Linked DNA regions of Macaca mulatta. The protein of the gene in region 1 interacts with the protein of each later gene in a pairwise test. Links are inferred from orthologs where the notes say so. Each region holds a gene or a part of one and is shown in the gene's direction. Other genes may lie near its edges.

Region 1 (3,747 bases):
GGCCTGGAGCAAGGGGCCAGAGGTCTGGGCAGGCAACAGAGCCTCACAGAGCCCTCGCTACCCTATTTATGGGCCCCAAATCTGAAAGCAGGCCACCACCTGCCCTCACGCCTAGGGTCTTCCTACAGGTGGAGCTGAAGAGCCAAGAGGCTCAGAGTCTACAGCAGCAGCGAGACCAGTACCTGGGACACCTGCAGCAGTATGTGGCCGCCTATCAGCAGCAGGTGGCCACCTATCAGCAGCTAACCTCTGAGAAGGAGGTGCTGCACAACCAGTTACTGCTGCAGACCCAGCTCGTGGACCAGCTGCAGCAGCAGGAAGCTCAGGGCAAAGCGGTAGCCGAGATGGCCCGCCAAGAGTTGCAGGAAGCCCAGGTGAGGGAGTTGCTGAGGGCAGGGCCCCGAGGGGGATGACCTGGCAACCTCCATGCCGTCTCACTCTCTTTCTTGGCCCCTTAGGAGCGCCTGGAATCTGTCACCCAGCAGAACCAGCAGCTACGGTCCCAATTGAGCCTCATGGCTCATCCTGGGGAAGGTACGGGAACCTGCTCACAGGAAGAGGAGAGAGCCCCAGGAGGAAGGGGGGACTGTTAGCAGTGTGGAATTGAGTTGGAAGAGACCTTTAGAACAGCTGGTCATTATGCCAACTGGGTGTCCACACTAAGTTCGGCATCATTATGGTGACTTCCTGGGAGCAGGGGACTAGCAGGTTGCCTAAGGATGGGTGAACTGGCCCAGGTCAGAAATGAAGCAGGTCAGAACTCCCATGCTGATCGGTAGTGGGACTGCACCTGGGCAGCATAGCGAGCTCTTGGCTCTTAAAAAAGAATAAAATAAAAAGCTGCTCATTCCCTTCTGGGGAGGGGCTGGCCCAGGGTTACACAGTGAGGGTGGGGGCAGAGGTGGGCACACTGTACCCTTGTTGGGTTGTCTGATGACCCCTCTGGCCACCCCCACAGGAGATGGACTGGACAGGGAGGAGGAGGAAGAAGAGGAGGAGGAGGTGGAGGCGGCGCCTCGGCCCATGCCAAGCATCCCGGAGGACCTGGAGAGCCGGGAAGCCATGGTAAGGCTGACTCCCCTCCCTGGCCTTTGCTGTCTCCCTCTGTGGTCCCTCCCAGACCCCCTTCTGCTCTTGGTTTCCCGGCCTTCTGATTTATTCAGACTCACCGCTTTCCTGGGAGCCAGTGGTCAGACGCCCATTTCACCTGGGACCAACAAGTGCAGCCTCTGAGGCCCCAAGGGAAGGGCTGCTCTCTACCTCCCTGCCTGTTCGTCCTATATATCCTCCTACAAGAACGCACCTCTCTTGCCTGCAGGTGGCATTTTTCAACTCAGCTGTAGCCAGTGCCGAGGAGGAGCAGGCAAGGCTACGTGGGCAGCTGAAGGAGCAAAGGGTGCGCTGCCGGCGCCTGGCTCACCTGCTGGCCTTGGCCCAGAAGGAGCCTGAGGTGGCAGCCCCGGCCCCAGGGACTGGGGGCGATTCTGTGTGTGGGGAAACCCACCGGGCCCTGCAGGGGGCCATGGAGAAGCTGCAGGTGAATGAGTCTCTCCTGGCATGGGTCAAGAAGGGTGGGGGCGGGGCTGGTCGCTGCCAAGATGTGACTCCATTGTTTTGGTTCCAGAGCCGCTTTATGGAGCTCATGCAGGAGAAGGCGGACCTGAAGGAGAGGGTAGAGGAACTGGAACATCGCTGTATCCAGCTGTCTGGAGAGACAGACACCATTGGTGAGTGGGAGGCCAGGGCACGGCAGGAGGAGCTGCACAGTGGTCGGAGGGAACCCAGTATCTGAGCCCTGTCCTTCCGCAGGAGAGTACATCGCACTGTACCAGAGTCAGAGGGCAGTGCTGAAGGAGCGGCACCGGGAGAAGGAGGAGTATATCAGCAGGCTGGCCCAAGACAAGGAGGAGATGAAGGTAGGGCGTGGAACATCTCTGTGGGGGTGGAGGTGGGCACGGGCACAGGCATGGCAGCTTAGCACCCCTCCCTCCAGGTGAAGCTGCTGGAGTTGCAGGAGCTGGTCTTACGGCTTGTGGGCGACCGCAGCGAGTGGCATGGCAGATTCCTGGCAGCTGCCCAGAACCCTGCCCATGAGCCCGCTCCAGGGGCCCCAGCCCCCCAGGAGCTTGGGGCTGCCGACCAGCAGGGTGGTGAGTAGAGCCCTCGGGAGGGGTGGGCAGGCAGGAGCAAGGGAGGGCTTGCGTGGCGCTCAGAGCCCTGCCTCTCTCTCTCCAAAGATCTTTGCGAGGTGAGCCTCACCGGCAGCGCGGAGGCCGCCCAAGGAGAGGCCAGGGAGGGCTCTCCCCGTGACAACCCCACTGCACAGCAGATCATGCAGCTGCTTCGTGAGATGCAGAACCCCCGGGAGCGCCCAGGCTTGGGCAGCAACCCCTGCATTCCTTTTTTTTACCGGGCTGACGAGAACGATGAGGTGAAGATCACTGTCATCTAAAAGCCGGCCGCTGTCAGCAAAGCCTGAAGAAGGGGGGCTGGAGACCCTGCCCCCACTATATCCCTACCACCCCCTCAGTGACCCCTTTACCCTTCCAGTAGCAAGCATAGACCCCTGTCTAACGGGGGTAGACAGGTGCAGATGAGGTGAAGATCACTGTCATCTAAAAGCTGGCCACTAAACTTAAAAAAAAAATTAAAGTTATGGGATTAAAAGAAGTTATGGGATAAAGAAGGTTATGGGTAAGTTATGGTATAGAAGTTATGAAAAAAGGCTGGGCGTAGTGGCTCACACCTGTAATCCCAGCACTTTGGGAGTTCAGGAGGTCAGGAGTTCAGGACCAGCCTGGTCAACATGGTGAAACCGTGTTTCTACTAAAAATACAAAAATTAGCCAGGCATGGTGGCGTGTGCCTGTAATCCCAGCTACTCAGGAGGCTGAGGCAGGAGAGTCACTTGAACCCGGCAGGCGGAGGTTGCAGTGAGCTGAGATGGCGCCATTGCGCTCCAGCCTGGGCGACAGAGTGAGACTCTGTCTCAAAAAAAAAAAACAAAAAACACGGGATTAAAAAAAAAGTCAGGATAAAAATTTTAAAAAGCAGGCCACTGTCAGCAAAGCCTGGAGAAGTGGGGCCGGAGGCTCCGCCCCCATCATGTCCCTGCCACCCCTTCCCAGTCACCCCTTTACTCTTACAGTAGCAAATAAGACCCCTGTCTAATGGGGGGAGACAAATGTGTAGAGCCTTTGCCACCTTGGCCAGGGCTGATTCCTTAAATTTCTGGATGATGATGATTGTTATTTAATAGCCAGAGGCTCATAGAATTGACTTGTTTGGAGGAGGCCTGATGGCCTCCTTACTCTCACCAAAGCAATTTTTCCCTCAGGGGGGCTCCCATCTTCTTACACAGAGAGGCAGCTGAGGCAGGACAGTGGGGTTAACTGTAGACCAGGTGAGGGCACGGGCTGCTGGGGTGGCCCCGCTTCCCCAGTGTACATATTGTATCTGTGTAACATTTTGTATATTCCAGGGGTAGGGCAGCCCCCTGTATCATACCTAGCAGAGGTTGGAGCTGGCACATGGGGAGGAGGTTCTAATAATTATTTGGGGCTGGGAAACTTATTTATTGATAGCATAGGACAGAGGAAGGAGGCGGGGATGGGGTCGTGGCACCCTGGTGATGCAACTCCTGTTTATTTTGCTTTTTATTTCGGAATAAATGGATTTAGCCATACTGCTCCGCCTGGCGTGTTCCTGTTTCTCTCACTGGGTTCTGGAGTTTGTGCCACTGAACGGG
Region 2 (3,747 bases), on another chromosome or scaffold:
CAACAGGGCCAGGTGCCAGCGGCTCACACCTATAATCCCAGTGCTTAGGGAGGCCAAGGCATGAAGATCATTTGAGCCAAGGGGTTTGAGACTACGGTGAGCTATAATCCTCACCGCACACCAGACTGGGTGACACAGCAAGACCCCCATTTTAAAGCTGCCAACTTGGTCTTCATCTTTTCCATGCTCCCTGTAAATGGCAGTCACTTCCGTAGGTTTGTGCCTCACCTCTAGTAGTTGACGTTTTATTTCACGTTTTAAAAACCTTTGGAAGGCCAGGCGGGTTGGCTCACGACTGTAATCCCAGCACTCTGGGAGGCTGAGGCAGGAGAATCGCTTGAGGTCAGGAGTTCGAGACCAGCCTGGGAACTGGTGTGTATATACACACACACCCTTTGGAAGTAGGTCTTATTTCTCATTCTTCAGAGCATAAACCTCCCCAATGCAGCAATCAAACTCAATCTTTGTTTTCACAGTAAAAGCCTAGCAGAGTATATATGACACTTAGGATTAAAAAAAAAAAAAAATTGTTGCTCAAGGAATGACGGAGCCGTTATATAACAGACAGGACTAAGTAGGGGTAACCTCAAAGGGACGCAACTTCTGGCTTTGTTTTGTTTTGTTTGCCTCCTAAGATTTTACTGCTATAACTGCATCCTTGCACCATCGCGAAATTGACGTCACAATCTGGACTAAAACTACCAATCCCAGAATGCCGAGCGAGGAGGCGGGCTCTCCGGAAGTCGCCGAGTGATTAGTGAGCGGAGGCATTTTCTTCCGGCGGGAAGGGCCCCGGAGGCGGGGACTTGGGGGGAAAGTTGAGACGCGATTACCGGGTTGGTCGGGCCCCATCTGGGAGGGGTTTGTGGGTGAACTCGGGGTCTCCCGCCCGCAGAGGAGATGGATGAGGACGGGCTTCCTCTCATGGGGTCAGGCATAGACCTGACCAAGGTTTGTAAAAGACGATACTAAACTCCTCCACCGGGAGGAGGATGGGGAAGACGCAGCTTCCCGGGGAGACCACACCTTCCGGGTCCCCACTCTGTCACGGCCCCGGGCCCTTCTGCCGGCCTCAGGAGGGAGAGCTCCGCAGTCCACCTTCAAATGGGGTCCCTCTTGAACTGATTAAGGAGACGGTGTGCATCTCCCAACTTTCGCTTCCCATCTTTCGTGTCTCTGTGCCGCCGGCGATAGACGCCGGTTGTGATAGCTAGCCCTACCTCTTTTTCAGCCCCCAAGTTTTTGTGTGTGTTTATGTGTGTTGCTTCTGCCTGCCAAAATTCGTCCCAGTGAGTCTAGAGCCTGTTCTCAAACTTTTATGCACCTCTGTTGTCTTCGGACACCCCACCTACAGTTTAGGAAAACAAGTTAATGACTATTCCCAGTCCTTCAAGAAATTCGTATCACACAGCAAAGTGCCTCGTGATTATTTCCAAATATGAAAAGGTTTGCACTGTGTACGTTCCTCCTGTATGAACCATGTTTGTTTTTACGTAACACAGGTGCCAGCTATTCAACAGAAAAGAACGGTGGCTTTTCTAAACCAATTTGTGGTGCACACTGTACAGTTCCTCAACCGCTTTTCTACAGTTTGTGAGGAGGTAGGTCCTGTGATACTGGTTTATAGAGTCGCCTAGAAGTCACCTTGCACTGCTGAGATTGACAAATGGAGTAAAACAAGAATTACAGTCTTTATTCATGTATCATGACCTCTTGTCACCCAATTGTGTTAACACACCTTAAGTTCTCTTTTACTCTGTTACAATCAATCTTGCAACCCTCCTCTACTGAATTAGTGTTCTAGAGGTCCTTGTGAGATAGTTCAGTCAGGCTTACTGCGATTAAAGAGAACAATAGGAAATCTAAAATTTCTTTTTTTTCTTTTTTTTTTTTTAGACAGAGTCTAACTCTATCACCCAAGCTAGAGCGCAGTGGCGCGATCTCGGCTCACTGCAACCTCCGCCTCCCGGGTTCAAGCGATTCTCCTGTCTCAGCCTCCTGAGTGGCTGGGATTACAGGCATGCGCCACCATGTCTGGCTAATTTTTTGTGTTTAGTAGAGACGGGGGTTTCACCATGTTGGTCAGGCTGGTCTCGAACTCCTGACCTCAGGCGATCTACCAGCCTCAGCCTCCCAAAGTGCTGGGATTACAGGCCCGAGGCACCGTGCCCAACTTCTAAAATTAGTTGAAAATAGTTTTTATTTTGCTATTTGTTATTCGTTCTCGTACCCCAAAATAGTTTTTATTTTGCTATTTGTTATTCGTTCTCGTACCCCAAAACCACATTGTTTATATTAAATTTATTTTACATTCCGAATCTAAAAGATGGCTAGAGGAGATAGGCTGGAAACATAACTTTGGCATCAAATATGATTATAGAAATAAAAATATTTTCTGCAAATGACTTGTAAGGATTAAGTATCCAACTAGGGACCAGGTGCCAGAGCTGGCACAGTAGTGTGCACCTGTAATCCCAGCTACTCGGGAGGCAGAGACAGGAGGATCACTTGTGCCCAGGAGTTTGAGACGAGCCTGGACAACATAGAGAAACTCAGTGTTTTGTTTTTGTTTTAAAAAAGGGGATAGGTACAAGATCCAGGATCCAGGGACTCCCTGTCTTTTAAAAAGCCAAAAAAGAAGATGGGGAGGACAATGGGAACCATGGGCTGAAATTGCATTTAAGGAAAGAAAAGTAAATTATGGGGCTTAGATAATTCACAAGTAAGTCTGTTGAACATTCTGCCTTATGTAAGGTATAGCCTTAGCAATTAGAGTTTGTAGAGGATTTTTGCTTCTATGTTCATTGGAGATATTGACCTTTGGTTTTCTTTTCTTGTAGTGTATTTGTTTGGCTTTGGAATCAGGATAATGCTGGTCTCCTAAATTGAGTTTGAAAATTTTCCCTCCTCTTCAGTATTTTGGAAGAATTTGAGAAGGATTTGTATTAGTTCTTCTTTAAATGTTTGGTAGAATTCAGTAGTGAAGCCATCAGGTCCGGGGGGTTTTGTTTAGTGGGAGACTTAACTACTGATTTGATCTCTTATTATCGGTCTGTTCAGATTACCTATTTCTTTATGATTTAGTCTTGATAGGTTGTATGTGTCTAGGAACTTATCCATTCTAGGTTATCCAATCTGTTGGCATATAATTGGTCATAGCAGTCTCTTATGAGCCTTCATATTTCTTTTGTTTTAATTGTAAAGTCATGTTTATTTAAGTATGAGCTTATATTCACTAAAATTTACCGTTAAGTATGAGATTTGACAAATTCATAATCATAACATAATCAAGATGTAGAATAGTTGTAGAACAAGGTGTAGAATCACTCCAAAAATTACCTCATGTTCCTTTGCAGTCACCCCTTTTTTATCCCTAGGAATCTATTATTCTGTTTTCTGTCAAAAGGGTCAAATTTAATCACTACAGTGATCTCTGGTACTGTGGAAAAATTCCTGAGCACACAGAACACACAAACCAAATTTTTTAAAAATGAGATACTTACAAAATTTCTTTAGCATACCAACCAAATGAAGGTAGCTTCATATTTTAGTACAGATGCTCAGATATCTTAGGCAGAATTAAGTCCACCATTGCTGTATATATGCCTCAACAGTAATATTTAAGAGTAGACTGTAAAAATAAACTTATAATCTTTAGAATCATCAAAACAATGGGATTATTAAATAACCTTTGTAAGTTAAAGCAGAGTTTATAAAGTTGTCTTCCATAGTTGTAAAATAGCTAGT
Region 3 (3,650 bases), on another chromosome or scaffold:
AGCAGGTATGAGAGCGATAGGCCGGGAAGCGACAAGTCTGTCAACCTTTGCTGTCCCGGGAAGTCGAAACCGAAGTTCCATTCCTGTCTGAAAAAGCCTTCCCGGAACAACAATCGTTCCCTAAATCCAAAGCTACTGGCCACCAAGCTCCAGCCAGACCTCCGTCCCTTTCCAACATCCTTAGTTATACCTGCTTGTCCTCGGATTTACCTGTAAGATTCTTATTCTCCGTATTTCAGGGGACTTCACTTCATAGGCTCTTCGGATCGGTATCACCAGGCTAACTTCTCACAGACCTCTTCCATTCAGAAGCCGGCCCGCCCAGGCCCTCCACATATCCAGGAGCTCTCTCACTCCTAACCACTTCCGATTACTCAGGGTTTCGCTTCCGGAATACGTTTCCAAAAGAGAAGGGTAAATACATTCTGCAGTGAGTTTAAACTCAAGTAACACAGAACACACACTGTAAGGCCTCCGTAAGTGGAAAGCGGACAGATGTCTACTTTAAAATAAAATACTGTACAGCAACTTTTGGAGCCCAAGCCTCAGATTCACTTAAACTTCCGGGCCAGCTGTTAAACAAACGGAAGTAAAACTGCCGGAAACAGAAAAACGGCGTCTCGTAGCCCCAGGCGACAGCGTGGAGGGGCGGGCCTGTCGATTGGATGAACGCAGCTGAGATTACTCCCAGCCACTAAGGACGAAGAGGTGGGGCGGTGGCGTCCCACGCACCGTGCGACAGTGGGCGGTGCTCTGTTGCCTGAGTAACCGGATGATGGTGTTGGTGGTGGTGTCTTCCTGTCTCAACGATACCTATTTTCTAGTGCTGAGATCCTGAGACAATGGTGAGTGCCAGGGGATGTCAGAATAACGGCTGTGGGTCCTAGCTACTTAGCGTTCCAAGTCTTCGGGCGGATGGGCACTTAAAGTTGTCCTGTCCTCCCGACCTTCTCCTCATTATCTCTTTCCCCCTTCCCATGGGCTGTTACTGCAGTTTACTCGCTCTCCGTATTTCTTACAGCACCCTGAATTCCACTGATGCTACTAAGTCTCTAGAGTAATGAAACAGAAAATTCAGGGTAAGGCATCGAGTCTAATCACCTGTTTTGAACAACATTATGTGTTTTCATTGTTCATCGTGGCATTTTTCATGCTCACAGATTCACATTAACGCGCTTTATTAAGAGTGTGGGGTGGTGTGTATGTGACTGTCTCAACACTAATCTGAATCTCCCTAGATCTTGGAGTCCTTTTGCTTTTCTGAGTGGCAGAGCACTGCCCCACGCCCCCACGAGGGCCATTAACAGATGTATGTTGGATCAGCTCTCGTCTGTCCAGTTGCTTACCTTCTAGGTCTGTGCTTGCTTTTCTTTTCTTTCTTCTTCTTCTTCTTTTTTTCTTTCTTTTTTTTTTTTTTAAACAGAAATTTCTCCTGGGATTGCTTGGAGAGCTTCTGCAATTCACTGTTTGGACTTCACCCCTGGAAATTCTGAATGAAAGGAATGGGGCTTGGTATTTGCATTTTAAATAAACCTGTAGGTGATTTTAATTCACCCACATGTTTGAGAGTACCAGGGTTCTAGTTAATTCACTTAACTATCGTGTCTTTTAAGCACTTATGGATAATGGACTGGAAGATAGAAAGATCTTTAGATAGTTATAGCTACGAATTTAGAAACAGAGCCCCCACCCATCACCCCTTGTTTCTTCATACTACTCAGCAATCCTTTTGGTTACCCCAGTTTTCCCCTGCCCCATTTTCTGTAAAGACATTTTCAAACCTTCCATTTATAAACCCTGTCTTTTGCCCTTCTCATTTCTCCTTTCTAAACATGATGGAGTATAACAATTCTTCAACCTCATGCCCCCAACCTACACACTGATCTATATTTTTGCCAAGCCTTTAGTCTTGTATTTCTAGTGTAGAGAAAGGGATATTAAAGGATAATCCATCCATCTTTGCTTTTGATCTCATTTGCTTCCATCTGTTACATTTCGCTTCCAGTTGTCTTTTTTCTTTCCTGTGCTTTCAGCCTCTTCCTCTTCAGTTCCTTCTACTCAGTGCTCAAGTCACACATCTTATGAAAATTAAATAAAGCAAAACCATGTCATCCATCCTGTGTTTATCCAGTTATTTCCCAGTCCTCCTATCTATCAGTAAACTTATTGAAAGGATATTATTTTTACTTATATCAAACAGACAAAAGTCTTTTGTCTGGCTTCTTTAATGCCTTCAAGAAAGTTGTTCTTGCTTAAGTTTCTAAAGGCCTTTTAAATGCCAAATACAGTAATTACTTCTCAAAATTTATATTGCTTAGTCTGTTTGTGACAACTGAGGTTCATAGTCATTAATTCCTTTTACTGGCTGTGCCTGGTTTTTGAATGTCATTCTTTGGAATTCACTCCTTAATTACTTTCATTTCTTAGTCTAGACATTTTCCTTGGGTGATTTTGTCCACTCACATGGATTCTATTAACACCTTTGATTTTGCTTCTAAATTTCAATTTTTCTCTCAGATCTACTAATGCCTAACTCAGTTGCTTCCCGGACACATCTGTCTCAAAGGTCCCTCAAACTTAATATGACCAAAACTGAACTTGCTATCTTTCCTCCTGGTTTCTCCTATTTTCACCAAGTTAAATACTGCTACTACTATATTGTAACCTAAACTAGAAATCAGAGTTATCCTACATTCCTCCCTTTCCTATTTCTCCCATATTCAGTTGGTCACTAGATCAAATTTTAGTTTGTCATCTCCTCATTTCTTGATTATTTTAATAGTGACTTTTACAGTCTGGTCTGGAAATTCTCCAATCCATTATTTTCTCTGCCACAAGAAGGAATTTTTAAAAACCCAGCCTGTTGATTTACTCACCTCCTTAAAACTCTAGAATCCCCATTTCCTACAGTAAAATGTCTAGAGTGGCACACAAATTCCTCCATGAACAAGCACTTCTCTGTCTAGCTTTTGCCTTTCCTTTTCCATACCTTTTTTTTTTTTTTTTTTTTTTTTTTTATAAAAAATTATCTTGCCTTTTAGCTACTTGCTTTTCATTGAACATACCAAGCAACTTCAAACTGGTAGTATGCCTCCTCTTTCTACTTTGCACTTGCAATTCCTTCTACACAGAATACCTGCACCCTCTTGTTGCTTGCCAAACTCTTATTTATTCTCCTGTTACAGGCCAACGTGTTCTTCTTGCCCGCTTCCCAGAAAGGCCAAACATCGAGAATGCAGGAGTTGCAGCAGAGAAAGAGTTTAATGGAGGCAAGGCAGCTGAGTGGCAGGATAGGAGATATTTCTAAAATCCACCTCTCTGACAGCTTGGAGGTTGTGGTTTTTAGGGATAATTTTGTGGGCAGGTGGGTAGGGAGTGGGTGCTGCTGATTGGTTGGGGATGAATTTATAGGTGTTTCCAAACTGTCTTCCTGTGCTGAGTCAGTTGTCTAGGTGAGAGTCATAGGACTAGTAGAGTCAGTTTCTTGGTATGAGTCATGTATCTGGGTGGCATCAGGAGGTTTGCCAGAATGCAGAAGCCTGAAAAATATATCAAGACCAATCTTAGGTTTTATAATAGTGATGTTATCTAAAGGAGCAATTGGTGAAGTTACAAATCTTGTGACCTCTGGCTACATGACTTCTGAATAG

Evidence for each region.
Region 2: the proteins of GOLGA2 (region 1) and WASHC3 interact in binary tests that used the Homo sapiens proteins (3 or more experiments, as listed by UniProt). The two-hybrid records come from large-scale screens. The link is inferred for Macaca mulatta from reciprocal best matches to the Homo sapiens genes GOLGA2 and WASHC3.
Region 3: the proteins of GOLGA2 (region 1) and NME7 interact in binary tests that used the Homo sapiens proteins (3 or more experiments, as listed by UniProt). The two-hybrid records come from large-scale screens. The link is inferred for Macaca mulatta from reciprocal best matches to the Homo sapiens genes GOLGA2 and NME7.

What each region holds. Positions count from the first base shown.
Region 1 is NC_133420.1:19,428,858-19,432,604, forward strand, and holds the end of GOLGA2 (golgin subfamily A member 2), read left to right. Parts: intron 1-128; coding exon 129-374; intron 375-458; coding exon 459-534; intron 535-958; coding exon 959-1,130; intron 1,131-1,296; coding exon 1,297-1,537; intron 1,538-1,624; coding exon 1,625-1,727; intron 1,728-1,809; coding exon 1,810-1,916; intron 1,917-1,993; coding exon 1,994-2,150; intron 2,151-2,237; coding exon 2,238-2,452; 3' UTR 2,453-3,684; downstream 3,685-3,747. UniProt on the Homo sapiens protein: Peripheral membrane component of the cis-Golgi stack that acts as a membrane skeleton that maintains the structure of the Golgi apparatus, and as a vesicle thether that facilitates vesicle fusion to the Golgi membrane.
Region 2 is NC_133416.1:109,366,325-109,370,071, reverse strand, and holds the start of WASHC3 (WASH complex subunit 3), read left to right. Parts: upstream 1-880; 5' UTR 881-900; coding exon of another isoform or gene 901-951; 5' UTR 952-992; coding exon 993-1,136; intron 1,137-1,502; coding exon 1,503-1,601; intron 1,602-3,747. UniProt on the Homo sapiens protein: Acts as a component of the WASH core complex that functions as a nucleation-promoting factor (NPF) at the surface of endosomes, where it recruits and activates the Arp2/3 complex to induce actin polymerization, playing a key role in the fission of tubules that serve as transport intermediates during endosome sorting.
Region 3 is NC_133406.1:26,870,514-26,874,163, reverse strand, and holds the start of NME7 (nucleoside diphosphate kinase homolog 7), read left to right. Parts: upstream 1-755; 5' UTR 756-842; coding exon 843-845; intron 846-1,021; exon of another isoform or gene 1,022-1,079; intron 1,080-3,650. UniProt on the Homo sapiens protein: Possesses an intrinsic kinase activity. Displays 3'-5' exonuclease activity with a preference for single-stranded DNA. Does not seem to have nucleoside diphosphate kinase activity.